Caenorhabditis elegans: one gene and its partner. The protein of the gene in region 2 interacts with the protein of the main gene of each other region in a pairwise test. Each region holds a gene or a part of one and is shown on either strand. Other genes may lie near its edges. The genes, in order: tax-6 and rcan-1.

Evidence for each region.
Region 1: the proteins of rcan-1 (region 2) and tax-6 interact in binary tests that used the Caenorhabditis elegans proteins (3 or more experiments, as listed by UniProt).

What each region holds. Positions count from the first base shown.
Region 1 is NC_003282.8:10,489,099-10,506,117, forward strand, and holds tax-6 (Serine/threonine-protein phosphatase 2B catalytic subunit), read right to left. Parts: upstream 11,963-17,019; coding exon 11,923-11,962; intron 11,438-11,922; coding exon 11,348-11,437; intron 11,100-11,347; exon of another isoform or gene 10,821-11,099; intron 10,612-10,820; coding exon 10,511-10,611; intron 10,464-10,510; coding exon 9,978-10,463; intron 9,658-9,977; coding exon 9,518-9,657; intron 9,470-9,517; coding exon 9,392-9,469; intron 9,316-9,391; coding exon 9,221-9,315; intron 9,119-9,220; coding exon 8,993-9,118; intron 8,948-8,992; coding exon 8,870-8,947; intron 7,445-8,869; coding exon 7,436-7,444; intron 6,169-7,435; coding exon 6,084-6,168; intron 5,831-6,083; coding exon of another isoform or gene 5,733-5,830; intron 5,530-5,732; coding exon 5,411-5,529; intron 4,955-5,410; coding exon 4,764-4,954; downstream 1-4,763. Other genes in the region: ced-5 (Dedicator of cytokinesis protein 1), read left to right, coding at 1-11, 371-527, 575-984, 1,639-1,770, 1,818-2,030, 2,075-2,419, 2,468-3,207, 3,262-3,532. UniProt on the Caenorhabditis elegans protein: Calcium-dependent, calmodulin-stimulated protein phosphatase. Dephosphorylates arrd-17. Dephosphorylates daf-16 at 'Ser-319' which regulates daf-16 nuclear translocation. Dephosphorylates calcium permeable cation channel pkd-2 at 'Ser-534'.
Region 2 is NC_003281.10:5,676,922-5,690,672, reverse strand, and holds rcan-1 (Calcipressin-like protein), read left to right. Parts: upstream 1-6,574; 5' UTR 6,575-6,643; coding exon 6,644-6,763; intron 6,764-6,811; coding exon 6,812-6,924; intron 6,925-6,974; coding exon 6,975-7,235; intron 7,236-7,905; coding exon 7,906-8,035; 3' UTR 8,036-8,371; downstream 8,372-13,751. Other genes in the region: abi-1 (SH3 domain-containing protein), read left to right, coding at 284-444; pst-2 (Adenosine 3'-phospho 5'-phosphosulfate transporter 2), read right to left, coding at 8,460-9,046, 9,094-9,299, 9,716-9,837, 9,891-9,963, 10,069-10,175; rps-12 (Small ribosomal subunit protein eS12), read right to left, coding at 10,525-10,792, 10,960-11,097, 11,327-11,343; ska-3 (Spindle and Kinetochore-Associated protein homolog), read left to right, coding at 11,685-11,798, 11,848-12,028, 12,072-12,359, 12,406-12,611; F54E7.9 (N-terminal methionine N(alpha)-acetyltransferase NatE), read left to right, coding at 12,785-13,058, 13,685-13,751. UniProt on the Caenorhabditis elegans protein: Inhibits tax-6/calcineurin A phosphatase activity and thereby negatively regulates calcineurin-mediated functions.

The DNA of each region.
Region 1 (17,019 bases), on a different chromosome or scaffold from region 2:
TCTGCGTTGAGGTAAAGAATTCACAAATTATGTAATACGGGGAAAAATGTCCCGCTGTAGATCAACATGAAAAGGCGCTCCACTGCCAATCAGAAACGCTCCGCCCCCGATCCATGGGTCTCGTTAGGTATTTGGCGCAGAGGTGTACATTCAAACCTTCAAGCCGAAAAATGCTTGAAAATGGAGAAATCGGCAAAATTAACTGAAAGTATTTGGATTAACAGTCTTCTTGCCAATTACCTAATGAGACCCATAGATCGGGGGGCGGAGCGTTTTCAATTGTCCGTGGAGCGCGTTTTCACATCGGTTTCAATCGGCTTTTTTAAGTGCCAAAAAATAAGTTTATAATTAAAAAAAAATTAAATTACAGATGTGGAGAGAATATATGGTAACAGTAGTTTCATTTGTAACACAAGAAGGACTCAATTCTAAACATGAATGGATGAAAAATGAAGATGAAGACATGAGGATTCAATTAAGAAAAGCTGCAGCAAAAGATCTTCGGAGCATGTGGTTCCGATTGACACGTGAATAATTTCAATTAAATCCCAAAAAATGATCAAATTTATTTCAGCCTCTCAGAAATTGAACTACATTCCGAGTATGATTGGATCATTCCTCAAAGTATCACTAGTAGATGATGATGAAACTCGTGAAGCCACTATTCCAATATTTTTCGATATGATGCAGACTGAATACAACACGAGTGCCAGTAGATCTTTCACGGAATTCGCTTCTGAACTTGTATCACAGCTTGATACAAATGTTGATCAACATAGTGCGACAAAAGGATTCAAAGAGCATTTTCGTCAATTATCAATTACTCTGTGTCAATCCGATAAAGAATTAATGGCGAATGGTGGAGAAGAATTGATTGAACGAATTGATCGTTTATTAACTGCTCTCATTGAATATCATGAAGTCGCATCGAAAAGTCTCGTGGAATGTGTGGATAGTCTTATGAGTAGAACTGTTCAGTTGATGGTAAGTTTTTCGAAATTAATTTTAAATCAAAAAAAAATTTGACAAAATGTTTTATCTATTCGAAGCAAGGATGTCATCAAAAATATTGTGGTTTTTTCAAAAAAAAATTTTTTAAAATTGAAAAACGGAAAATTTTGATTTTCTGCAATATCGAAAAGAATTTTTAGAAAATTAACATTAAAAAATCAATTAGAAAGAAAAATCAAATTTCGTTTACATTGATGAGAAAAAACATAAAATGAGGAAAAATGATCAAAATGTTGTTATTTTCAGAATTATCGGAAAAATTGAATCCCGACCCCCTTGATTCGAAGTTTTACCGTAATCAAGAGTGTCGTCGAAAAAAAAAAAAGATTATAAAACTAAAAATTATCAAAAAAAAATGTTGATATTGAAGAGAGGAATATCTTTCAAAATGGAGCAGTAATCGAAAATTATTGAAAAATTCGTTTTTTTGCCGAAAAAAGAAGTAAATTTTTATTTTCCAATTTTAAAAATCGAAAAATCGGCTATAGCCATTATAAATTTATAGGTCAATTGAGAAAAAAGAAAACATTGAAATATCAATACAGCAAAAAATTTATTAAAAAATCTTAATTGTTCTCTTCTTTTCTTGAGTTTGGTATTTATTGAATAAGTATTGTTTATATTCAGAGATACTATAATCAATATTCTCATAAGGAATTGTATGTCAAATACATCTACAAGCTATATGATCTACACACATCGTATGGAAATAAGATTGAAGCTGCCAAAACTTTACTTCGACATGCCACAATGCTTACGGTAAATGTTTCTTCAATCAGTATCCTTTTAAAGATTATGTATTCCAGTTTGACGATGATGCTCTTCCACAATGGCTCATTGCTCGATCTCTTAACAGACATCGTGAGCTGCATCGTCAATTAAAAGAAGATTTAATGGAAGAAGCTGGTAATTTATTTTCAAAAGGAGAAGATTGGGAGGACGCACTGATTGTTTACAATCAACTTGTTCCAGTATATCAGAATATCATTATGGACTACGATAAATTGGCAGGATTATTGGTAAGTTTAAGGAAACTCCGTTATAGTCTAAATCATAATTTCAGCAAAAAATTGCCCAGTTGTATACAAGCATCAGTCGGACGGAACGTGCATATTTCTATTACTACCTGGTGGCCTTCTACGGACAAGGATTCCCTGCTTATTTGAACGGGCACAAGTTTGTGTTCCGAAGTGAAAAACTCGAAATGCACGGAGAATTCATGCAGCGAATCATGAAGATGTACGATAATCCGGAAAAGATCATGAAAACAGATCCTTGTCCTCACCTTGTCGACTCCCCCGGCCGTTACATTCAAGTTTTCAATATTGATCCAATCGGTACCGGATGCTCATTTGAAAATAATCCTGAAGTGAAACCGGTTATCAAAAAATATTTCAGATATTATAATGTAAGTTCCACTATTCTATTGCAAATATTGTATGTTGACTATTTTCAGATTCAAACATTTGAATATTCAAAAGTTGAAGAAAGAAAAGATACAAAGTGGACAAGTATAGATCCTTCATCTGAATTCATGAGGAATTGGCTTGTTCGACGGAGAATCAAGACTGCTGACAGTCTGCCAACTGATTTACGATTCACGGAAATCGTCGAGCTATCCGACCCAATTTATGTAACTCCATTACAAAATGCAGTTGAACAAATGAGAAAAAAGAATAAAGAACTCAATGAAACGGCTGCCAGTGCTGAGAGCAATCCTAATTTCGATTTGAAACTTCTGAGCAGAGATATTCTTGGAGTCGTCAGTGCAGCTGTGATGGGTGGAGTCAAAAATTACGAAGTATTCTTCACGGAAGCGTGTAGAAATATATGCGAGTGCGGTGAGCAGTCTGTGATCATGGAATTGAGCTCGTTGATAATCGAACAAGTTGAAATTTTGGAATATTGCTGTTATGTTCATGCTAGTCGTTGTCAAGGAGAAGCAAGAGCAATTAATACAATGTTGGCAGATTCATTTGACAGTCATCGTAGATATGTTGAGGAAAACTTTGGAAAAACAAGATCCAGGTTGCCAACACATGCTAATATTCGACTATCATCGTTTGATTCGGATTCGATCAATGATGGAATGATGACAATGAAGTCAGGAAAAGCTGCAGTACTTGGAAACGCTGTGGCTAACCTAATTTATTCGAACAAACGATCTAGTGGACCTGGAACTCCTGTCAACTTGTCGTAAGTTTTCAAAATTCACAAATGACAATCTAGTTTTTTCTTTTTTTTTTTCAGAAGTCGTTCAGCCCCTTCATTCGATAACATTTCATCTAAACTTCGGAGTTCTCTGGCAATTTCCAAGCTTGCACCCCCACCGCGACCTCCAAATCCCATATCTCCAATTAACCGTGGACCATCTTCAAATTATGAAGGAATCCGTATGAGAGCTCATTCACATCAGGCTTCAACAGTCTCTCTTAATCATATGTCAGTTGCTCCACCACTTCCACCTCGTCCAGATCGTCCTGATATGGATCCAAATCGAACATTGAAGCGAAAAAATTAATTTTTGTTTTAATTAAATTTTGAATATCTTCACAAATTTCCAGAGTCATAATCAAAAAACGCATGATAATCTAATTCTAATTCATTAATTGCATTTCTATTTTATCATTTTCTCAAAATTCCCTTTCCCCTGCTGGTTTTATCTGTGCTCTTTTACTAGTCACTCACTCACTTCAAAATGTTTTAATTGTTTCCTTTTTCAAAATTCTTTTCCTTCCTGTGAATATGTTACAAGTTAATAGGAATTATTTTCAGAGCTTCATTTTCCATATAAAGAAATCTCCAAAAGATTATCAAAGAAAAGGGGAATATCATACGTTAAATGATTCTTTCAGCAAAAAAAAAAACGAGAAAAAAGATTTGAGACAGAGAGGGAGAGAGAAGGAGAAAAAGAACAAAAAAACATGAATTTAAATTAGAATCTTATAGACAAGACAATATATATTTATATTTATGTATATACTTTTATAATTTCGGATGAAGTTGATTAGCTTAAAAAAAGAAGAAAACGAGATGATGGATCGGAGGAAAACACTTTGGGATGAAAACTTGGAAAAAACATTTAAAATGAACAAATGTGGAATAAAATAACACTGTTTGCTTGAATGAAATGAAATGGCAAAAAAAAGAAAGAATGGGTCTCAACTGGAAAAAATCATCTATGGGTTACGGTAGATGATAAGGCTAGGGCACACTTGTGAGGGAAAATAAAGACAGAAATCATAGAAGTTTGGGGCATTTTTTAAAAAAAGGGGCGGGGCGACTAAGAAACACGCAACGAGACTGAGAACGGATCCAATCACAAATCGATAATTTATAGGGAGAAAAAGAAAAAAAAGATGCGGAGTTGTGTTTAGAAAAGAGAAAAAGCAAATATGTTCCATTAAACTTGAAAAGCAATGAAACACATTTACATAATAAGAAACCGGGGGATTAAAGAGAAATTATACGAATAGAAGATAAAAGTTTCAGAGGTTTATAGACTTCCAAACGTATGAACAAGAAAAGACTATAAATCTAAGGTAAGAAAGATGTGAATGGATTTTGATGGATTTGTCATGCGCAAATGCACTATGGCAAATAGTTTTCGGAGATGGAAATTTGCATCTAGCTGGTTGAAAGTTTTTAGATAAAAAAAATAATTAAAAGAAGAAGAAGATTACGTATTCAAGCGTGTTAGTTTCCAAACTCTAACGACTTTTGAAGATGATATGCCATATGAACTATGACTATTAGCTATTTGATGGACCATTTTGTGGTGGTTGAGGTGTCGTTTGTCGTGACGGAATTGGTGATTGACTTGGTGATTGTGCTGGTGGTGTTGCCATTGTTGGTGGCATTCTTTCATTAATCTTATCGAGACGGCGAGCTTCTTCGAATGATTGAATAAGATGTCCCGAATCGCATCCGGATTCTGCTGCCACTGAAATTCAAATATTATAATTAGGTATTTTTATTTCCAATCATTTTATATGGGATCCAAGGTTTAGTTTCGAAAAATATTGCATTTATTAGCATAAACTGTTGGGTATACATGATGGTATTTAAGTTTACTATAATCTCGCAACTTTCGAAATTAATACTTTAAAGTCGCACGTGGCTATTTGAATGGGTCTCGTCACAAAAAAGAAAAAAAATCGAATGCAGATGCTTAGATTTTTCTTCATTCCTGGTTGTCTAATCAAATTTGTTTTTTTTTAGCAACTTTAAAGTTGTAATTTTGAAAAGAAAAATAATTAAAAACATTTTCGAAAACGAAAACGTCGGTGTTGCCCCAAAAGCAATGTTCTTTCAGTTAAAAAAACCATACTTTTGTAGAATCAGATGTTTTAAACATTTGCAGACCATAGATAATTTAGATAATTTTTATTATTCAGACCTGACTGTTCAATTCTATAAGCCGCATTCAATCCTGTCCGTCCTTCCGAAAGAGCCCCTTGTGGCAGCTTGCCACCTGCATTCAGGCCCTTCAACTGCAGCACTGACTCGCTTTCATGTCTGTTAAAAAGCGTGGTACTACGTTTTTCTCTTTCCTTTTTTCTATTGAATTATTGTTTTTTCGTAGAAAATATCATTTGATTCGAAAGTTAACTCGGTAAGTATAGTTGCATTTCGATTAGAGAAAAGTACACACACTTTTTGACGGACTTTAAACGATTTTGGACGGATCAGGATCGAAGAGACATCAGGACAAACATTACCTTCTCGGACACCACGTGATCCACCTTGAAGTGTTCCCATTGGAAGTGCACCGGTTGGTGTAAGTCCTTTCAGTGCGAGAACACTTTCGCTCTCCTCGCTGAAAATATGAAAAACCACATAAAGAGTTATGAACTTTGAAAAAAAAATAATCAAAAATGATTAATTAACAAAAATTGTCAAAATCATGCTTTAAGTATGTTGTTTTTTTATAGAAACATTAAATTAAGATATATGTTATCAAAAATAAATAAAAGTTAACTAAAAAAAATGCTCATTCTATAATAGAAAAAAACTTTCTATTTAAATTCATACAAATTCGGTTTAAAATTGAAAAAAATTAATCAACTTACCGAAGAACTGAGAATGCTCTTGCCATCTTTCCAATTGCTCGAATCTTGTGTCGAATAACCTCTTTTCTTGCAGACCCCACTCCACCTGAAAAATTAATTTTTAAAAAAGAACCGTCAACATTTACAAATGACATGGCAACAACTTCAAAAGGGGTGACACCATTCACTGGCAACCACATTACCAATCAATAGAAATCCCCGAATGAAGTTAGAAAAATGTCAAAAATAAAATGAAAGCCATGTACATATATATTGGCTAATAGGTGAAAAATTACTACTTGTAAATAGTGTGAATATGGGGAGGGCAAAGGGGGTAAAAATTTGGGATTTTGCAATGTGCCAACCGTCACCGAAAATGATAGAGGTTGAGTTAGAGGAAACGGGTCCCATTGGGATTTGAAGGGATTACGGTAGTTTTTGTTGTAAATAGTTTTAAAGAAGTTTTATGCTCTTGGAAAAGAAAATTTATTTGTCTAGTTAATTTAACTACAATTTTTTATACAAAAAACTAAACTTGTTCGATTGTTAACATTTTCTTATTTCGTTCCAAGATTATGTTCCGTAAGAATAGCCAAAAAACTCATAGTTTAAAAAATCTTCTTGTCGAGTAAACATCAATTCTACTTTTACAATTTCATAATAATTTTTCAAATATACCGTAATATACTAATAAAATATAAAGTAACCTTTTTGAGAAAATATTATGTATAGAAAAAATATACACTTCAAGGTCTTTTCTCACAGGTTTGGGGAAATTTCCACTTTCTCATTTCTTATACCGTACCCCTAAAAATCCCAATAAAGACACCCATTTCTTCCAATTAGTAACTAATTTTTAGGGTGGGGAATCAAAACCAAGTGAGAGAATTTTGAATTTTAGACTGCTCGAATTCTTTCATTTTCTTCGATTTTTTGACTTTCTATTTTTTTTCAATGTTTAAAATTGGAATTTTCAGAATTTTTGAAAAGAGACCAAAACACAGGAGAAGACCAGGTTGGAAATCCGACATAAAACATGCAAAACACAAGGCGTTAAAAGTTTAGCAGCACACAGCCAAATGAAACAACTAAAACAATTATAATTAGAAAAAAGCAACGTATTTTTTTTTAGAAAAACGGAACAAAAAAGATAAGCAGAGCAGCCACATAAAAGTCAAATAAATAGAAAGCCGTATTCAGAGAGAAAAATAAAACAAACTAAGAAATGGTGTATAAGCGCCAAACGCCCGAGGTGGGTGTTGTTTAGGGTGTTCCGAAGAAAGTTTGGTAAAAAATTAAAGAAAAAATAAAACTAAATCTGATAGTCAAACATACGTCACCAGTGTGTGGTGGGTAGGGGAATATCCACTTACCATCTGCTCCTTAAAATTTTGATTAGACTTTTTCATTATTTTTTTGTAGCTAGTTTTGAGATTAATGTTTAGATCTTTACTGAGATTTTAACATTTAACTTTTTTAAAGGCGCGTGCGGTTAAGGAAAAAACGGACGGCTTGAAAACACAGTTTCTGACAAATTTGTCAAAATTTTATTGGATTTTCAGAACAAGTTCAAGCCTGCAACACTGGGAAAAGGTAACAAGTTTACCGACATTTCAAGGTTTTAGAACAATAGACAAAAATTAAGGGATGATGATATTCTTACGATGGCATGGTACTTCTGTCATTCAATTCTATTGACAAAATGTCTTCCAAGCCAAACATGGCTCCGGCAAATGAGCTCAAAATTTCTACAAGTAGTGCTCTGCTATGCTCAAGGTCAACAATACATGCGTTTTTTTCTCAATCGACATCATGGTTTGTGTACTAGTGACTAGCATTTCTACATCGTTCGAAAAACTATATTTCAATTTGAAGTGTGAAATCCTACAAAAAATTAAACCTACAAAGTGGCGCTAATCTTTTGAATACTGTACACATAGGGAGCGTATGACTGCTGAGAAATGCTAATTCAGATGAGTACAATAGTTACAGTTTTGAACTGAAGTAATCAATCATGTCAAACTGAAAAAGAGAACACCTATATATTTCAGTCATTCTCAGTCAGAGCACACACGCACACTCACACAGAAATATCAATTCTCATGCCAATACCTTTTTTCGTTTTTCCTTTTCTTTCTCATGGTTTCTTTTTCAGAGAGCTCAATCAAAAAAAGAGTAGCACAACATTCAAACAATGACCAAATATTCAAAAAAAGGGAGAAAAGAAGGAAAGAAAAAGGAAAAAAGAGAAGGAAAGGAAAAGGCAAGAAACTAGAGAGAAAAGAAGTAGAAGAGAGACAGAGAGAGAGAACCGTACCGGACACACAACACCGATTTTTGTGCATTTTTTGAGGTTTTTGAAGGAAAATTGGAAATATTCCTATTTCCCTTTCAAACTCTCAGTGCCTTATTAATTTTCAAACAGTCTCTCTTCTTCTTCTCCTCTCCTTAGTTTATATCACAGTAGGAGAAAAGAGTGATATGAGGTGAATAGGAACAATTTTCTGTTCTTGTTAAGATATACATTTACAAATATATATATAAATTAATCGAGCAAAAAACACATGTATTCCATCTCTTGGGGAGAACGTTTCAATGCGGCTTTTCATTTGCCAATTTGAGCCGAGCACAAGACAAAATCATTGAAAGTGTATAGAGACAAAATTGGCGGTAGAAGATTATTTTAATTTAAAAAAATTATATATACATAAATATTTTTTGTTGTGAAATAATTCATATTAAAGTGACCTAGTTTTTTACGCAGTAGGACCTCCTTTGAGGGAGCCAGTGCTTAATCATGAACATACCTTCAAAGGTGTCATCGCATTCAGCCATCAGCTCGTCGTCAGAACAAATGTTGAGAATGTGAACCAGCATCTCCGTTACTAAAAGGAAATCTCATTTGGTTTTCGACATATTTCTTGCTATACCTTTTTCTCCCACAAACGGCAATGACCACGTGAACACATCCATAAAGTTCGGCAGCCAATATGGATGAGGACTGCAGTTGAATTGACGAATATTCATCACATTGTTCTCGTACTTCAGGATGGCAGCTGAAAATTGTTAAGTTGTTTAATGTTTAATGTTTAATTTTCCGAATTTTGTTTTCTTTTTGTTTCTCCGTCAAAAAATGCCATTCCCATATTTCCTCTCACCTTTGTTGTTGTAGACATCCAAATAATTTGGAGCACTGAAGATGGTGATCAACGATGGGAAGCCTGTGGCTTGAGATTTGCGATACATGCGGTATCTGGAAAATAGAGTAGAATTAGAAAAGAGGATTAAGGTTCTCTTTTCGCATCTCCTGGCGACGGATAAGCTCTTACCCGGCATCTTGAGCTTCATGTGCGCGAATGATGGAGAGCAGATTGTTGTGTTGCAGGAAATCACAGCATGCAGCGTAGCTATAATATTTCGTTCTATTAAAATGAAGATTATAGTGAATGGGATACCTGTAAAAGTATGAGCACCCTCTAACCGAATTGTGACTAAATTGTTCTGAATTCCTTTCGTTTCCGAAATCTTCAAGTGGGTCTGACCAGAGAAGATCACACATTGGACCAAATGCTGGGGGCTCCTTGAATCTGTCTATCTGAAAGTCAACAAATTAAATAGACATTTAAGATATGGTCGTAATTTCGGATTAAAGTTAAACAGTACTTTAAAACATATAAAACAAACATATACCGTAAATTTTCTCTCAGTATTGCACCTAACTATTTCACTTTAAAAACTTCACTCGGTTCATGATACATATCAAAGAAATTAATTGAAAATATATTGAAAAAGAACTAACAAATATTTTGTTAATTGAGAATTTTTTGATAGAACAAACGACAACGGGTACCGTACTAATAGAGAAATACGGTATTTTTCAAAATATTAGTTTTAGATCTCATGTTTTTCACTAACCCTCCTGATATCCTCCAAAGTATGGATTTCTGGGGACAATCCACCATGAACACAAAGGAATTGTTGGTTCATGAGAGCTGCCAACGGTAGAGCATCAAATGACTCCATGCACACATCGTATACCCGTTCAGAGTACTTGATCTTGCATTCTTGTTTGAATGTAAAGTACTCTGTCAAATGACGGCATTCATGGTTTCCTCGAAGCAAGAACAACGTGGTCGGATAGCAGATTTTGAGTGCCCACAGATACAGGACACATTCAATCGAGAAGTATCCTCGATCCACGTAGTCACCCAAAAATAGATACTTGGTAGTTGCGGGCGATCCGCCAACTTCGAATAGTTTCATGAGATCGTAGAATTGACCATGAATGTCTCCGCATACAGTAACCGGCGCCTCGATTTCCAACATCGTTTTTTCGTTGCGGAACAGGCTTGAGCATTCTTGAATCACACGAATCGCGGCTTCTTCTTCTATCCTTCCTTCCTGCAAAATTGTTGATTTGATTATATTCTTAAAAATCTATTCCACACCTTAATAAAATGATCTCGAAGAACTTCATGCCTTGGTTTTCCAGTCCGCCGGTCGTAGACCTGATCAACGGTAAGGCGTTCGGAAACAGGAAATTGAACGGCTGAAAAATGAGAAATTAGAAAAAATATAATGTTTTCATTATTCCATTTTACTTCCGAATTCCTTCATCTTTCTATTCCCTTCTTCTATTTTTTTTTCAATTCTTCTCAAATTCCATGCTCTTCTCACGCTCATCTTCCCCACATGGCGCCCGAGCCGCCGCCGCCCTCCTAAATTACTATGGGAACCCTCTCAAGCGTTTCGGGATTAATTTTCGATTTCAAGCTACAGCAGTCACTCACTCCCCTTCCTTCCCGTCTTCTCTCACACACACGACGACGCCAATGACGGCGACTTCGTCAGAATCTTTTCGAATAGAAAAAGAGAATGACGGAGAGAGAATCAGAGAGAATAAGAACTCTCTATCTCTCGATATATTTTCTATGTGCCTGGTGAGCCGACGCGGAGCCATTGGTGAGCTCCTCAGAGCAACGGACCCGCGTGAGTCAGACAGTGAGAGTTTGCGCTGAGAATAGACGAGAAGAAACTCTCTGCGGCTCTGCAGCTCACGACGACAACGGGACAAGCAAAAAAAAAAATTCTCTGCGCGTATAATTTCTGGCTTCTTCAATGTGTGTGTGCCAATGTGAGGGTGGATGGGGGTGGTTGTGGTGTGCTGCGCAAAAAAAAAGAGAAAAAAAGAGCATGGCGCTTTTCTCCGTAACCTGAAGCAAGAAACACTTTAATTGGTTTTTCTTTTTCAAACTGCCGCCCGACTGCAGAAGCCAAATACTTACTCTTGACAAATCGTTCGGTGAACTGCTTCAAATCACGTTCGCGTTCACGATTGTTGTTCGAGGCGGTGGTGGTAGTGTTGGTAGTGTCAGCTGAAAAAATGGTTCTTTTCATGCATTCCAGATGAGATCCATTTTTCTTTCGCTAGATTTTTTCGGATAGAGACACCTAGAAAAAGGATGAAGCCCCCGACGACTGCGTGTGTGATGATGCACAACAACACTACAAATTCGATTTGTGTCTCTATTTCCTTCTAAAATCATTTTTCGAGGGGGCAAAAGGAGATAGAGGGAAAACAACAACTAATTTTTCGATAACATTTAAAGGTATGTAACGTGAAACGGAAACCAAACTTCAAAATAAATTGATTTGAAAAAATATTGTTCTTTTCCCGTATTTTCCCAATCAAAGAAAATGAAAATTCTAGTTCCTACTAAAATTGAAAATGGACTATTTAACTTTTTGAAATTTATTCAAAAAATGCTCAATGTTTGCTGATTTTAGCGATAGTCTTAAATTGCAAAAAATAAGAATAAAAACAATGGTAGTTTCAGACGAGGATTCAGTAAATACTTACGTTTAGCTGCAGAGTTCTGTCCTGCCGATGTCGAGGCCATTGTGTGTGTTTATATATTTAAAATTGATGATGACTTTTCCTTTTATCGACTGATTTTTTGTTTCACCTGCAATTCAAAATTGTAAGAAAGTGAGGGAAACTCTGGAAATGGTGTGGAGTTGCGCGGAGCCGAGTATCTTGGGGCAGCTGACTTGTATTCTTGAGCTCCTTTTTTTCCTTTTTTCTTCATTTCTCTTCTAGTCTCTCACGCGGCTCTCCTTCTCTCGCGGACACCATGGCGATTCAATTTTTATGACTTTTATGAGAGAGAGGCCAATACCTCATATATTTTCCTTTTTCGGCGCGCGGCGCCACTGACGGATCGGATGTATTTTGTTGGAAAATGAAAACGAACCCTTTTTGTTCAAAAAAATGAGTGAATGAGCTACTCTGGTTTGGTATGAACCCGTAGATGAAGCGGGGAAACGGCTATGTGTGGAGATGATGTAGCTTTGCGAAACAGTACGATACCCTCCTTCGGACCGTTTCACGTCACTTCTCTTCACACCACGGCACGACGGATCGATCTTTCACAGGCCTGCAATCAACATTTTGGTCAATTTTTGTCATACGGAGAGAAAAAGTTCAACATTTACGAATTAAATAACGATTATGAAAGAATAACGTCCCCGAAAAATAAGATGTTCCAATGCAAAGCTTTCCGTTCAATTTAACAAATTGATAGTTAAAAATTTAAATTCAATAAGAAAAAGAAAAGAAGCTTGACCAATCGAATAATTCAGATTGAAGGGAAAACTAGTTGTGCATGCCAAAAGGCGACAACAATGGGCGGGGTTCCTTTGGAAAAGACGAAGAAAAGGAACAATTGAGAATTGGAAGGAGAATCAAGAGAAATTTATTTGAGAAACATTACAACCAATTTATTAGCGAATTTTCTTAAAGCTAAAATGTCATCAAAATATGATTTACATCATTGAGAGAGCAACTATATAATTATTCTAGAGAACAAATTTATTCCGAACGTTTCTTCAAAAATATCTTAAACATCATTCATTTTTGACAACTTTATCAGGAAATTCAGCATCATCTTCAAAAAAAAAACAGTCAATACCACACTTTATTTTTTATTTCGCGAATTATTCAATTCTGACAGTTTCTCTGTCGTTTTGTCAACTGACAAAATAATTGTTCTGTTTCTATCGTTTTATGTATACTAGGTAGTGCAATACAAATAAAAAAAACGATATCAGTTGTAGTACTGTACAACTCTAAGTGTTTGTATTTAAAAATAGAACTTTCAAACAATTTTATAAGTTGAAAATGTCTTCTTCCTAGGAGCGATGTCATTTTCTAACTACTGTTCAACTCATGCTATGTATTGATTAAATCATTTATGAGCAGAACCAAAAACCCACATGACTTTGAAAAAGGGAAAGATCAAAAGTAATGGGCGGTGTGTGTTATCGATAAAAAACCTTTTTTCCCTCTGCGTGAGAGAGATGCTCTTTTTCTCTGCTTCTCTCTATCGATAAGGCACAATGAAAAATGAAAAGAAGCAGCACGGAAATTGGGTAAACATATGTAGCGATGCGACAGAAACGGAGAAAATTAGAGAAATAGACAGTTTCAGTTAAAGCACGTTTCAAATGTTGTCTAAAAATTATAGGTGGAAAATTTAGCAAAACCAGGCTTTCTACTCTCAAAATAAACACAAAAAAAAACAAATTTCAGACAAAAAGAAAAAGTAAAAAAAATCGGAAACTCTATGTATTGTAAAAACAGAACATGAAAATTCTCTAAACGACATAATAGTTCCATTCTTAAATTTTTAGTCATCACTAAGAAAGGCTTGTTGTTGTTGTTTATTCCTTCCAAAAAGATAGGTCCCTCTGGTATAATCATGAAAAGGGACAGAAACAAGGAGTCCAATAGATACTTCATGCATACAAATTTGTTGGTACGATGATGTGTATGCTGGGTAGGAGCTAGAAAGATAAGAGAACGAGTGAAAAGAGAGTGTTGAGATGTCAAAAGAAACAAAGATCCGCAATCCGTCGCGTGGGTCAGAGCAAGGGAAAAGCAACAAAAATCAATCGGTTAGTTAGCTGCGGTGAGTACAAGTATATATGGCTTAAAATATGTGGTTTAAAAAACTTATCTATAAATACCTACAATAAATGCACTTTTAAAAAGATATTCATTACAGGGTAAAATAATATGTGGAATTAATATTTTTCAAATATTATTTGAAAGAAAATGGAAAAAAAAACTACTGTATAATTTTTACATGGCCTTTCGTGAAACCCCTTTGTTTCAAGATTTTTCTGCATCAGAAAATATATTTGCCGAATTAAAATCTGAAAATTTATAGTCACACATCTTAGAAATTTCAAAATTTGTCACTTTTTTCTAATGGAATCAATTTATTTTTATTTATTTCAGTTGGAAGCATTGTAATTCTACAAAACGATTATAATATAATGATTTTTGATATCTTTGATAAATATTAAAAAAAAACTATTCTATGTATTTTGAAACTAGTAAAATATTACAATTAAATAAATAAAAAATGACGTGGATTTTATTCAGAAACGTTGAAGTCAAAAAGAGCGAGAGAGAAGGAGCGCGAACAAGAAGGACGTTGTGGGTGGGATCAGCTCGAGAAGCTTAGCCTGTGCTCGAATCGGAGAATAAGAGAAGGGATAGAAGAAGAGGAGAGAAAGAAGAAGAGAGCAGCTTTCTGCTCGATCGACGACACCAAAAAGAAGCTGCTTCTTCTTCTTCTTCTTCTTCTTCTTCTTCAACTACTCCTGCTGCGTGTTGCTGTGCTGTCGCTGCTATCGGTGTCTGTTGCGGCTGCTGTCCCGGGACCCGAGAGCCGCAAGAACGAAATAGTGTGCTCCGCGATGCGAGCTCGGTTTTCGGGAGAAAAAGACGCACACAGCGGCGGCGGCAGTGGAGAAGGGAGGGAAAAAGATGGAAAAATGAGGGAAATGAGAGAGGATGGAAGTACGTAGAGAGTTGAGACAAGTGTAGCACGGCTCGCAATCGATTGAGCTGTGCTCTGTTGGCTAGGAGAAGGAGGAAAAAAAAGAGAAAATTGAAAAGTGAGAGGAAGAGAAAGAGAAAGCAGTTTCATTTCTCAACACGCGAGGACAACATAGGCATACACACACGCAGAGCCAAGTCAAATGAATATAAACGCTACGTGCTTCTGCTGTGCTGATAAAAAATATCAAGGATTTGATCGGAAGGCAGAAAGAGACGAAAGTAGGCACAGGAAACAGAAGATTGAAGGAGAAGGAGAAGAAGGAGATGGCGGCTGCTTCTGTGTTTTCCAAATGGACGAGATGGAGGGTCACAGACTCAAAAAGAAAACATGACGTACCGATGTGTCAGAAAACAATGTTGGCAATTGTTTCATATTGGGATGTTTTATATACGATGTGCCACGTGTCATTGATAAAAAATCTAGAAAATCTACCGAAACAAGCTTATGCAAACTGTCTTAGCAACCCTACCACATTCTGTGACAACGGATTATAAATTTAATGCTGGTTTTGTAACTGATAGCAATACTATTGGTACTAGTTGTATGTACATATATGTTTTAACCAAAAAAATACATAATAATGTTTTCAGCATTACTTAAAAAAGTAAAATTATTATCAGTTCATTTATTCAAGAAAGAAACAACATTATGTGGAGAGAAATTAGAGTACAGATAATTTTTTCTATACGAACTAGGTTATCCGAAACTTCAAACTTAAAACTTTCAACTTTAAAATTTGGCTTCCAAAACAAATGAGCTTGGGTTTTTGAAGATATCAGCTTTACATTCTAGAAAGCCTGCATCTACTGGGAGCAACATAACAAGTATTTAGCAGAAGAGAGTGCATTTATCATGAAAACAGACAGAGACACGCAAACGTAAGCCTAACTAATTGAGGGTGTAGGTCAACTGGAAGTGACTCTAAATCACAGAGTGCATCATCATCATCATCATGAAAGAAAATAGGGGTTTCAAAGAGAGAGAGAGAGAGAAATGGAAGGCTCTCTTTCACCACCACCACCGCCACTGCTCCGATGTCGTCGTCACTCAAGCTTGAGCCCATTCAAAGACTCATCTCTTTTTCCCGTCGTCGTGTCCTCGTGTCCCTAGATGGCTATACCCTTTAGAAAATAATTAAATGTGAAAAGAGGTCTCCAACGAGATAGTATGGATTTCGATGAGAAGCCGGACACCTATAGGGGGGGGACTCGAACAAAAAAGTCGTTTGCTTGTATGTATGTGTGTGTGCCTTGTTGCTCCACTTCTCCTTCTTTCATTTTGCCGTTTGGATCCAACCAAGGATGGCAATGTAGGAGCAGGAACAGGAGTTTGAGAAGAAGTTGCACACCAAGAAGGGGTTATTTTATGACAAGAACATTGGCCTAGAAAAGGTGAGCTTAATGATTCAGGACCAACTCATATCGAAGTCTAATACTACAGAAGTGAGGTATCGTGAATGGTGAATTCGGTTTAAAAACCGCTAAATACTAACCGACTAAAAGGTTATTTTCAATATTGCCCCATTTACCATATTGAATTCGCTCTAAAACGAAAACTGAGAGATCAATCAGCGATTCGCTCCGCTCAATTTTGAACCAATCAGGCGTGAGCGAGTGTAGATCAAAAAACGGTGATTGGTTTGTATGGAAGCGTGGCTTCTCATTTTAGAGGGAATACCAACCGGGAAAAGGCTAAAATTAAAAATCACCTTTTTAGAAGTTGGGTTTTTGACCTACTCCACGATTGAACTCTGAGATTTAGAAGAGCAAAAGGAACAATTAAGTTGAGTAGTGAGTATAGTTTCTCTGCATTTTTCGAGTATATACATTCTTCTCGAAATTCTGATTAAACAGTTTTGATCACTGAAAAGTGAAGAATCGTAAAGTTTCTAAACCAACTCAAAGTTTGACGAGATGAGTTTTTAGGATTTCTCGTGTAAACAACGAGATTATCGGATCTTTATGACCTTATAAGATTATCTTTTCAGAGAACTAGTAATTTCACCTTTCCTGCTTCTCATTTTGCCAGGAAGGTGTGTATATGTG
Region 2 (13,751 bases):
GTGATTTTGAAAAATTCAAATATCTCCAAATTTTTTTTTTTTGAGAATTTTCAAATTTTGAAAATTATAAGCTTTGATTTTTTAAAAAGTTATCTTTTTAGCTTTTATTTTCGAAAAAAACGAAAAATAAATTTCCTTTAAAAACATCGGAGTATCAAAAAAATCCAAAAAGAATCGAAATCTTAAGTTGTAAAATGCGATTTTTTGCAGAATTTTTAATGTTACAAAGCAATTATATTTGTCAATTTAAACATTTTCGAAAAAAACCAATCTTTTTTTTCAGTACGGGTCCTGTACGACTATGATGCTGCAAAAGAAGACGAGTTGACACTTCGCGAGAACGCAATTGTCTACGTACTGAAAAAGAACGATGACGACTGGTATGAAGGTGTCTTGGATGGAGTCACTGGGCTTTTCCCTGGAAACTACGTAGTTCCAGTATGATAACAAGAAATGCTAACCCTGCTAAATCAATTGCTTTTAATCTCACTTTTATTCATATTCATATATTGCCTTTTGCCTCGAGTACTTGTATGTGAAAAGCCAAAAATAAACGATGGATATGTAATCATGAAGGAAGCAGTGGTCCCCTCGTTTGCAGCAGTGAGAAGCCTAAAAATAGCCAATACGACTGCTATTTTCGAGTCTCGACGCATTTCCTGAACGCATGTGCTCGTTCTCTCACTGCCCCCGTACTACTCTCTTTTGGTTTTCCTAGGGGCTCGCCTATTTAATGAGATTGCTCATTTTCTCTTCATGCACACACATTCATTCATTTTCTTATATTTTTGTGCCTTCTTATTTCTTTTCCTCTCCTCTCTAGTTTATTTTTTCTTCTATTTTAGAATTTTAAATAATTCATGTTCGGCACGACGAATAGTGACGCCAAAGAGTTTGCAAGGCGTGGGAATTGTATCTTTTTTGGTGGGCGGTGGACACAGATTTTCTTAGAGGAGGAACAAAGGTCAAAAATACAAGCAGAATTCTTGAACAGTTGAAATTCCCGCGCGATTTCCAATAAGATGACTTGGATCGCGGTGGGACCTTAACTATTGCACAGACGCAAAATTTTGTCATTTTTGCGCCAAAATACGGTACTCGGTCTCGACACGACAATTTTTTATTGGATAAAAACGGATGTGCACCTTTAAAGAGTTCAGTACTTTCAAAAATTTGTTGCTGCATGCTGCATGAAAACTCCATGAAAATTTAAAAGCAACGGAAGTTTGAAACTACAGTACTCGTTAAAGGCGCACATCCCTTTTTATTTAGCAAAAAAGTGTCGTGTCGAGACCGCATACCGTATTTTTTTATCTTTTAACTTTAAAATATGAAACTCTGCAGAGTACTCTGCTCATAAAAAGAAACAAAAATTCGCTTTAATTGGAAAATTCGAGAAACATTTCAGTCAGAAAAACAAAACATTGTTTTTTTTTTCGAAAAACACGAGACCTCAATTAAGAAAAGTCGGTTTGTTGTTTTGTTGGTGCTCTTAAACTGCGGTTAATCTTCCATTCAAAAGCATCTAATACAAAAAGTACCAGTAATTATATTTAAATCGGTTCAAATACCTCATGGGACAAATTTGAATTGGCATATTTATTTTTTGATAAACATTTTTTTTCCGACCTTAACTCTTGTATAACAATGAAATCTAATCTTGTTGCTATTAAACACAATTTCTGACGAAAAACTACGGAACCTGGTCTCGACGCGACCGGAAATTTCAGGCATAGAAGAGTGTGTACCTTTAAAGATTACCGTAGTTTCTCAGTTTTTTTTTGCAATTTTTATCCACCCCTTTTTAAAGCTGTTTTTCGAAAAACTAATTTTTCGAAAAGAAAAAATATCGATGATAATTGAACACAATTGCGTAAAACAGAATTTCGCAACTACAGTACTCTTTAAAGGCGCACTCTCTTTTGCGAAACTCTCGGTCGCGTCGAGACCGGGTACCGTTATTTTTTTTGTATTTTCTTGCAACTTGGTAATAATTGCAATCTGAATTGCAAAGAAATTTTGGTGCTCCATACGCGCATTTCAGTATTTTCAATTTTCAAAAGTTCCCTTATTTTTAAACCAAAGCACATTTCATTTCAGTGTTCTTGTGGCTCTTTTTTCTCTATTTTCTATCTTTTCAGAGTGTCCTGTGTCCCTTCTCCCCTCCCCTACCAGGGCGTGACGTCGGTACGCTCCTCTTCTTACGTCTTTCCATATCTCTGTACTCTCTGTACTCTCTCTATCTCTCTCACACACACAACAGAAAGAGCTCACCAACTTGTCTATTCTCTATTTACATATTTCGTCAATCTTTTTCTCTCTTCACAGGGGCGGCTACCGATCCGTTCTTTCGCAAAAAACCCTCGGAAATAGTAAACCCCAGAGTCATCATTGATAGTTATAAATAGACATCTTTATGTGAACTCACCTGTTTTTATTTTATTTTATTTATTGCAAAATCCATTTATCTGGAATGTTCTTTAACAAGAGTTCAAGCATCTTCCTTATTTTTATTTGAAAACCTTCAAGTTGCTTTACTCTTTTTGTTTTCGTTGTTTCAGTGATCGAAAATCAGTTTTAAAGGCTCATTTAAAAAATCTATGGCCGATTTTCTTTCAATATGCCAAAAAAAATTAGTGGCCGAACTTTCTGCTTTTTAGGCCACGTTGCATAAACGAGAACGGTACCTCAATTTATCCCTTGATTTTCAAGTTTTTTGCCAAAAAAAGAAATTAATGAAAAATATTGGTAATAACGGAGAAAAATCACTAAAAGACAGATTATTTAGTATTTAAAAAAATTGGTGGCCGATTGTTCTCTTTTTCTAGGCCACGTCGCAAGTAGCCTTTTTTTCAGAAATATTCAACAATAATTCAACATTCATATTTTCAAGACTATTTCAATAATCTGAATCGAGCAATTTTCCTATTAATAATAATAAAATCTTCAATTCCAGACCGGCCCAAATTTCAAAGAATCCCCACAAATTGAGTTATTCAAAAAAAATCGTTCTGGCGAAAATCTCCTGTTTCTTGGATTTAGTTTTTTATTCTTCCTTTCTGGAAATCCGTTTCTAAGAAAATGAAAATTCGATTTAAAAAAGAATTTAAAGCATTTTGATTTCATTTTCAAAACCTTTTAGACTTTTAGATTCACTAAAAAGTTGACAACTAGCAAAATAAAAACAAATTTAATTCTGAGGAATATGCTCTCAGAAACATGATAAATTGTCAACTAACCAGATATTGCAAAAGATCAGATCAAAATCACACAGTTTAAAATTCACCACCAATTTTCCTTATCAATCACAATTTTTATCAATTCATTTTCACCAAAAAAGTCTGACATTTTTGTAGAATTTTTCCGTTTTTCCGTGTTAACAAGATCAACTTCACTGACACCAATAAATTCCGGTAAATGATCAAAAATTAGCGCTGAGAATCAAGAAAATTTTAATCGTATTGTAAATTTGAGTACCTACGACAATGACTGAGTATTTACGTCAAAATGTGAACAAACTAGACTGCCTGTAAACATTTCTCTGTCTGTGTGCTTTTTGATACAGATACTTTATTTTTCAGTTTTGGTGTTGATTTATGAGATTAATAGATGATACTGTATGGATTTTTCTGTTAAAAATTTTTAGATCAAAGTTGCAACTTTTTTTTCCAAATAAAACTGTTATTACGTTCTTTAATTTCCCGGAATAAATGAAAATTCCAACATTTGCATATTTTTATCAAAATTTTGTGGATAATTTTTTATCCGAAGAAAAAACAATTTCCAAAAAAGAGGAAACGCCAACAAAATGGATAGGTTTTATTTTATAAAAATTGAAAGACCACACCGGCAATATCGCCGACATTTATTTCTATAAAAGAATTTTTAAAGTTTTAAAATGTCTTGTTTTCCGGCTGTTGGTGTTGCCCTCCAGCTGTCCAATGCTCATTGAGTTTTTTCTTGGCTCCACGAGCTCAAAGATGAGCTTCAGAGTTCTTCATCGGAATGTGTTTTTTTTTTGCCTGGCGTTTTCTAAGAGCTTCTTTACCAAACCAATACTATGATCCTTTTTATTTCATTTTTGTGTTTGTGTTGACACTTTCGAACAAACCCCCCCCCCCCTTTCCCAATGGTATTTGGGAGAAAAAAGAACCGATTGAAAAAAAAAGTGAACTGCGTCATGAGGTTATGAGTACCTCCTCTTCTTCAACGCCCTTTGTTTCTCCCATCCTTTTGCTCTTTGTGAATTTTTTTCCCCTAAAAATATGTATTGTGTAAAAACTTTTCTTGAGGGAAATCCCTTCACCTATGTATCTTAATTCATACAGAGAATAGCTTTTAAAATGATCTTCGTGTTCTGTCTTGAACTTTTAGTCTCTAGTAACAATTTATCAAAACTTTGACTGCAATTTTTGAAATCAAAACATTTTTAGAGTATCTCTAACTATCATAAGTGCATTTAAATTAATTTCTTACTCACGAGCACCTTTAGGCTTAATTCAAGATCCAATAGAAATTGTTCATTAACAAAATAAGCGTTCACACATTTTTTTAACTGTGATAGGTTCCGTGCATTTTGCAACAAAAAACAGCAGATCGGATAGTACTTGTGATTTTGATTTTTTAGTTTTGAACGAAAAAATCAAATCAGCAGATCAAATAAACTATTTTAGATCAAGGACATTGATCAAATATTTGCGAAATACTTTTGTAAATTGACCGAATTACACAACAAAAATTGTTTACTAAATCAGTATTATTTTTTACGGTAACTTTAGTTTCGAAAATAACTCTTGATAAATCTTCCGGAACAGTACCTTAACTCCTGTTTTTTTTTCAAAAATCAAAACAAATTTCAAAAACATTTCATAGAATTCCAGAGCTACAAAACAGTGATAATGTGTCAAATTCAACACCTCCTTGTTTCGTTTCTCTCGTGTTTTTTTCTTCTTCTTTTACTGCTCCGCGAGCATCAAAATATCTGTGTAAATGCACGTGTTTTCCTACTTCTCTCACTCGTGGTTCATTTCATCTCCTATTTTTGTCATAAGGTTCTGTTTTTAGACATGTTTTTTCTTGAGTTTAGAATCGATTCTCTATCAATTTCAATTTCGCTCTAAAGATAAAAATTTGAATTTCTAGTTACAAAATGTTGTTGCAGTTGTCCATTTTTTAAAACGAAAGGCTTCTCCAAGGGAATCGTGGTCCACAAGTGAAGTGTGATTCCCAAAACTGAGCGTTTTGTACTCTTTTCGAACAATCTCCATACGTCTTATGTGAATGGATGTCATTCCTAAACCTCTGACCGATTTTCATTCCACTCGGCTGCTCGCAGAGTTCAGAGGCTTAACCTCTTGATCGTTTTTCTTTTTTTAGTCTTGCTGTTTCTCCCAGCTCGAATTGTATTCAAATTTCTGATGAAACTGCGTCAGCGCTCTGCTGCGCCTGGGGGAGATTATGGAAATTTTTGTGGGCTTTTTTTCGCTTTTTGAATTTTGGTGCGTCTAATATCAGAGTATTGTCTCATATTTTACGAATTTCTAGTCCTTGGTTTCTCGGAATTTTAAACCAATTTGGTGAATTTAAGAAAAGTTGCCGTATCTTTTCAAAAGCACACACTGATTTTCTAAAAATTTTGATCGTGGTAGGACCCTTTCTGCATCAAAAATAGATGTATCTTTGCAATTATAATTTCTGCCATTTCGTGTTCCATCCCTCCACGTCACACAGAAATAATCCAATGTTCAGTTTCACCGACCACGTGAACAAACATTGACATCATTTCTGTCCGCTTCCCGGTCCAGTTTTTGATGGTTTCCGTGCGGATCAGAAGAAGAGAACACATTGTATCTGAATATATATATATTGGCACGAGGCAGGCCACCCCATTCTGCACGAATCTTTTGTCGTTTATTGTAGGTCTCGCCACGATTCAAGTTATTTTTGAAGCTAATTATTAAGAGAATACCCTAAAAGGTTCATTTTTACAAGATTTCATAATAATTCTCAATTATTGAGAATAATTTTCGAAATGTTGAATCAAAAATTGGATTATTTCGTTATTATAAGAACTTTTCGTCTCTAGGAACTTGGAAGCATAAGAAAAACAGCAAATTTCCCGCCTCAAAAATTCCAAGAGTTTTTGTTCAAAATTCTATATTCAGAACGGGGGGACTAAAAGATTTGTTGTTTTTGTCGAAAAACCGAACAATAAATGTTTTTTCTTTTGCTTTAAACCACCCACACTCATGCACCATGAGTCATTTGTTCCAAAAATTTGAAATTCCCTTGATGGCCATGGCTACTGGTTTACTGGAAAATCTATCTTATTCAGTCTACGTCTCACTTTCCTTCTGCTTTTTTTATGGATATTTCTTCTCGAGACCACTGTTCTTTCTTCCTTTCTCTTGACCATCTTCATCATCACCGTCATCACGTTGTGTTTTCAGAGTTTTCAAGCTCCAGAATCCATGTGATTTTTTTTTCGTCTAAATTGTGCCCTCCGGCACCCGATTTCCGTTTTGAAACGCCCACACCATGAAAAGAAGATAGAAAAAATGAATCTTTTTTTCAGGCTTCAGTTCTTCTTTTTCTCCCAAACTCGGTGGTTGCTGAAATTTTTTCTATAAGTTAACAACAAAAAATGGTGGCTGATAACTCGGAAAAATCAACGAAATCCGTTGCCAATGGATCATTGATCAGCACTGTTTCCAGTAAAGATGATCTTCCAAATGCAATTATTGTGACTCAAGTACCAGAAGATGTAAGCTTTTGATTTCAAATTGGCTCTACTTTTAACTTTTATTTATAGGTATTCGATAATAAACAAGACAAGGCAAACTTCTCATCTCTATTCACACAAATCGAGAAAGACATTCATTTCGATTTCCTGCGCAGCTTCCGACGAGTTCGAGTAATTTTCAGGTGAGTCAGAGGAAACCGCCAATTTTCAATAACTTTTGTTTTGTTTCCAGCTCCCCCGAAAACGCTACAGCCGCCAAACTTATCGTTCAAGGATTCTCTTTTAAAGGGCACGAGTTGAAAGCTTTTTTTGCACAAAGGATCTACATGAGTGCCAATTCCCAAATGCTTTCCCCCCCACCACTCGAAAAACAGTTTTTAATTTCACCACCATGTTCTCCACCAGTCGGATGGGAGCAGACTAAAGATATGCCACCGGTTGTATGCAATTTTGATTTAATGGCCAGACTTGCGTCATTTGCTATCGATGAAAAGTAAGTTTATATGACGTTTATCAAAAGTTGAAAAATGTGAAAAAAGGGGTCTATAAGTTTGGAGTTTTGCAAGCCTGGAATACTGTTTCTACTTTGTATCACACAGCGCTTATTACGGGAACACCACATTTTGAGAATGCGTTTTGCGCAACATATGCAAAATATCTCGTAGCGAAAACTACAGTATTTTTTTTTAAATGACTACTGTAGCACTTGTGTCGATTTACGAGCTCGATTTTTGAAATTAATTCCTTTTCGAATAGTGTGTCGTATAATAACGTCGTATTCTTATTTTGCTCAATTTTAATATTCTTTCATTAAATCAATGATTTTAGTTAGTTTTAAAATCGAGCCAGTAAATCGACACAAGCACTATAGTAGTCATTTAAAGAATTACTGTAGTTTTCGCTACGAGATATTTTGAATAGTTGTGCAAAACGCATTCCCAAAATTATATGTTCTTGTAATAGTTGCTACATGCTCAATTTTTTTATTATTATTCATATCTCTGTAAAGTTTGACATCTGAAGCAACCACTATGACGTAGATCTTGGCGAGACCCACTCAGAAGAAGCGTGTGCCTTTAAACTGAAGTGCCAGAATTTCGCGAAAGTACAATAAACTAAATATTGAAATATTTTAATCAATTTTTTTCAAATCCAAAATTCAGATATGAAGTACACAATGGAGACGAGCTGACACCAGCAATCATTGTTCATCCATGCGAGACCCCAATTGACGTACCATCAGCAATTGAAATGCCACGAACTCCACGCCCTTCATCTCCATGTGAACAGTAATTATCTTGGATATCCCTTTCCTTCTCATTCTTCTTGTTATTCATTTTTCTCTTCCAGCTTTACAATCATCCTCATTCTATTTGTGTTGCACTCCTTCTTCTCCAATTTTTTCATTTTTTCCTTGTTTCAACTTCAATCCGCAGAGCTTATTCTGCCGCGGGTAGACGTGTCTCTTCCTAATCCAACAATCCACTTATTTTTGCTGATATTTTGTTTTTGTAAATATATCCCAAAAATTGTTTACCACCCAATACTTACTATATATTCCTTTTTATGGAATGAATCTTCAAAATGAAAAAAAAAGAAAATAATGCAAATAAATTATTTGTATTTAAAAGAACTGACAATATCACATGAAAAGAAGGAAAAAGCAAGTATAATATACCCGAGCCCTGATAAAAAGTTATTCGTTAATATTTAAGTTCTAAACCGTCATTGGATCCTTCCTAGCAACAGATACATCATGATATCCCATTGCTCTCGCCACGAATCTTCTTATCATATTATCCCAAGACGTCTTGTTCTTGCTGTACAAATTCAAATAAATTGCCAGCATCACCACAGATCCCGCATAAACATATTCGATGGTGAACGGCTTCGAGAAGAGCATGAACGACAGAATTATAGTCAGTGCCTTGCGAAGAGTTGTCACAGTAACCGCAACAAGTGCTCCAAACACTTTGATATGAGTGAGCACAACGTTGACACCGAGATATCCAAGACATGAGAGGATCAGTGCGTAGCCGAATGTTTTCCACGAGTTCTCCAGGAAAAATGGAATTGCACTGAAGACTTCACCGGAGAGCACGACAAATGCGAAAATGAACACTGAGCCAATTCCATATGAGTAGAGAACCATTTCATTACTAGATCCACCGTACTTCTTCATATTCTTTTCTTGAATATTTCCAATTACAGCATCTGCCAGAAGAGCTCCACAAATCATGATGTATCCTCGAGAATCGAAATTTGGGGATACTTTATTATCGGCCAATGTGAACATGATAATTCCTGGAAATAAAATATTTAATTAATTTTTTAAAATCCAAAATCCTCACCTAAACTCATTAACATCGCCGCACCAATATCAATCCATCCATATCGTTTTCCTTGGATCAGAATCCCTCCAATGAGCACTGGAATTAGCTTGCAGCACTTGAAAATCACTTGAGTTGGATAATTTAAATATCCAACGGATGCATTCGAAAGTCCCATTGTTGCTACTGTGAAAAAGGCAATTACACCGTAGATTCTCCAAGGGATCCTGGAAAAATTAAATATTTTTTAATTCTGAATTTTGTACTATTTGTACTACATATACGCGAAATATTGCGATTGTTGCATCAAAACCGGTCTCAACACGGCAATTTTTGTGGAAAATGGTGTGCGCCTTTGAAGATTACTGTAGTTTCAAACTTTCGCACCTTAGTTCCTGTGGAATTTTTATCGACTTTACAGTTTTTCCCTTTTTTTAATTTGTTTAATTTTTTTGTTTTAAATTTTGAATAAATGTATTTATTTTATTAATAAACAAAATCGAGAAAAAATCCGTAGCAACAAAAGTTTGAAGTTACAGTACTCTTTAAAGGCACACATCAGATTTCATTAAACAAAAAAGCGTGTCGAGACCTATTTACTGACGCACAAATCGCGAAATTTGAATAATAATTGAAAACTCACATTCGTTTCGTGTTATGCCAAATAATACATTCCGTATATCCACATCCGCTATAAATCAGGAATTGAATAAGTGTTAACGTCCATCCAAATGGTTTCATTCCAGGTAGTTTGAATATTAATTCCTGAAATATTTTTTTTCTTCCAAACATTTTTTTATGTAAACTTCTAATCTCACCTGCATATACCCGTATCCTATGTACAAAATAAATATTGCTAAAGAAAGAAGAACAAATTGAAGCCATTTTGGTCTGAAAATCATGAATTCACAAATTAAATCGGCTCGAGATTTCATAATGTATTCTCGATTTTATCGCTTTTGAAATTCCGCTTTAAAATTGAAAATTAAAACTCACTTTCTGGCAATATTAAACCCTAACAGATGAATTGGTTCTACATCCTCTTTGACATGACGTGGCAGCATATGAACACTACAATCAGAATGTATTTGAGCTGCAGTCATTTGAAAGAGTGGGTGGAAAGTGCGCAAATAAAGGGAAATTGAGATCTAAATCAGATAGGCATTTGTTCAGATTGTCCATTGGGGAAAGCCTGAACCGCGACTACGTTCACGGCTTTTGAAAAGGGGGTATCGATCTTTTTGCGCGTTGGCAATAGTTTCTGCGCTACGTCTCTCTATGCATACGTTATTCATACCGAAATAAAAATTCACCGGCGTGATATATTGCAGAACCTTTCCTATACTTTCTGCTCCCGAAAATATTATCCCAACAACTTGTGAATGTGTACCATTTTGTAATTAAAGACGAACAAATAGGGAACAATAACAATTTATTGGAACAACGAACAGATTAGTTCTTGGAGGCAAAGTAGTCGGTGAGGATGGCACGTCCTTGCTCCTCATTTCCCCAGTTGGTGACAACGGCGGATGAGCATCCAACGACCTTGCGGGCCTTTCCTTCCTTATCGTACTTGCAGAGTCCGCAGTACTCTCCGATGATCTTCTTATCGGCGACCTTAATGAGTGGAATCTGGTGCTCGGCGCAGAGGGTCTCGACAAGCTTGACGTATTGTGGCTCGTCGCAGTTCTCGGCGAGGACACAGAAGTGAGCCTCACGCCTGAAAATTGTTTGTAAAATCTTTGGAACACATACAGCATGATACCAGTACACGTGTGGCAGAGTAACAACTTATCTACCAGCTTATTGGGGTCACATCGATTCTAGAACCGGCGACGTTGAAAAATAAGTGGAACTAAAATACAAACTAAAATATCAATTACTTACTTGTCAAGAGCCTTGCAGGTCTCGTGGAGTCCCTTGGCGAGTCCATCAGCGTGGTGGGCAGCGCGAAGAACAGCTCTCAAAGCTCCTTCCTTGTCCATTGGTCCCTGGGCGACGGCGGCTGGGGCCACTTGAACATCTCTAAAATTATCCAATATTTTAATAGCCTTCATAAAAACTTAATTTTGCTTTTAAGACAAGGAATCTAATTGTTCGAACAACTTTGGAACCGATACAGCTTCAAGGCCAGTACCCGTGTGGCAGTAGAACGGTTTTTATTGCACACTACGATAGGAAAACTATGACTTCAAAATCTTCCGATATAATTGGTAGGTGCAAGATTTTTCAGAAAAAAACAAAAATAACCTACCCTCCTGCGTCAGACATTGTTGTTTGCAGCAAGAGTCCTTGATGCTTACCTGAAAATTAGAAATTTCGACTCGTTAATATTGTTTTCACAAAATATATTTCAAGATTTGAGAAAAAGAAAAAAAGAAAAGAAAAAATTGGGAAAATCAACGGAAAAGAGGGAAGCATGAAATGTTTCTGTATCACTCCGCAGCATGTCTTTGAGTCGCGGCACAGTGAAATGTGCTATAGAGCGCGCTTGCCATTTGTCGATTTACGGAGACTTGCACGCGGGAAGCTTTGAATTTCAACAGTTTTCTGTATTTTCTCAGTCTTCATCAAACATTCATTAGCATTTTTCAGGCAAATAAAGGAGTCAAATGGCTAACGAAACGCTGGAACATGTTCTTATTTACTTTTTGGAGAAGCTAAAAGACGTTCGATGCAACCAATCTCCAGAATTACTTCAAAAGCTGACACTCTCACAGTACAAGGCAAGTTGTCGAGCTTTCAGTCCATTTAAATTATTTACATGAATTTCAGACTCTTGCACAATTGGATGTGGACATGCGAATGAGACTGACGCAGGAAATGGAGAGCTATGTGGCGGATCATGTAGAAATTATGAAACTCGAGCTGCAATTGAAGAACAAGAAATGTGCGCTCGCTGGAAAACTGAAACAGTTGGGGACAACGTTTGATAAAGCTATTGTGGAGACTAAAGGTGAGTTGCAATAATTTTTTCACGAAAAAATAGAAAAATTCAGAACGAAACGAGCATTTGCGGATTGGCAGCATTGATTTTCTGAATCCCGTGGTTGAGAAAGTGGAAAAAATAGTTTTTGCAAAGCCAGAAATGCCACAAATATCAGTCGAACAAGGATCAGTTCTCGGTGAATCTGCGAGACGTCAACCGGAGCTTGTCTCTGTAATGGCTTCCATAATGAAACCACCAACATTTTCATCATTGGTGATGACAGGAAGGACTGAAAAGAAAGAAAATATTCCGGAGACCAAAAGCTACAGTCTTGATGATTCTTTGATAAACGGACATGGTAAATTGAATTAGTTTGTCTTTGCAATAAAAACATGCCATTTCAGACATATCAATGGTGAATACATCCAACGAACGACGAAAACTGGCTTTTGATGAGTTGGACGATGAAGAACTGCAAACTCCAGCAAGAAAACCACAAAGAACTCCATCCAGAGCTCCAGAACGGAATCCTCTTGATCTATTTTCCCTACAAGCACCGCCCGTCTTCACATCTTCAGTTGGTCGAGCATTCAATCAGACAAGGGATTGATTTTCTGAATTTTTGATACTAAATATTATTTTATTTATCTGTACAAATGTGGATATGAATACAATTTTCTGAAAATGAAATCAAATGAATTTGAAAATCCAACCAGTTTTCAACTGTGAATATTTTTAGAATTTTCGCATGTTCTAGTCAACGTTTTAGACAAAGTTTCAGCAATGGAAGAAGAGGAATGTTTATCACATTCATCACCATCAACCGATAATTCTCTTGAACTTCGACTGCAACGAGTGACTGCGGAAAACATAAAAACAGTTCGAATCCTCGTTTCAAGCATATTTCCGGTGTCGTACAGCGACAAATTTTATCAAGAATGTATGAATAACGAATTAACAGGAGTTGTAATACGAAACGGCGAGGCAATCGCCATAGTTGCTGTAAAGCCCGAGAATTTCGAAACAGGACGCGTACTTTATATAAGAAGCTTTGGAGGTTTGTAAATTTTTGAGAAATTAAGATTTTTTCATTTAAAATTCAAGAAAAATGTTATAAAATTAAGTTTTCTAAAAATTCTAAAATATGGTCTCAAAGTTCAGAAAAAAGTCTGGTTTTAAAACAAAAATCAAAAATTAAAAAATTAAGATTTAAATTGATTTTCACTAAAGTCGTTTTTTAGAAGATCTTCCATTTTTTTCAGTTAAAATTTTTTCGAAGCTATTTTCTAATTAAAAGTGTCATTTTAACCTCAAAAATTTGTAGAAAAAGTAACATTTTGATAAAAAGTAAATTTTGCAAAATCTAAAAAATATTTTTCAAAATATGATTAATCAATACTTTAAAAAGATCTATTTCGTATTCTCAAAAAAAATTTCTTGATACATTTTTCAAAAAGAAACAAAAAAGTGTTGAAAAATCTACTGAAATAATTGGAAAAAACCAAAAATAAATTTAAAAAACATTTTTTACAGTGTTTTCCCACTTTATTTTAATTCTTTAATTGAAGATTGAACTTTCTTTCCATTTTTCTCTAAAACTGCGGACAATTTTCTGATTTCTAAAATATAACTTTTAATTTTTAGAAATTGAAAACAAAATTTGCAAAAATTTATTTTTTCCAGTTCATCCCCGTCACCGCGAAGCTGGTCTCGGCTCATTTCTGATGGATTTCGTCGACGAAAAGGGAAA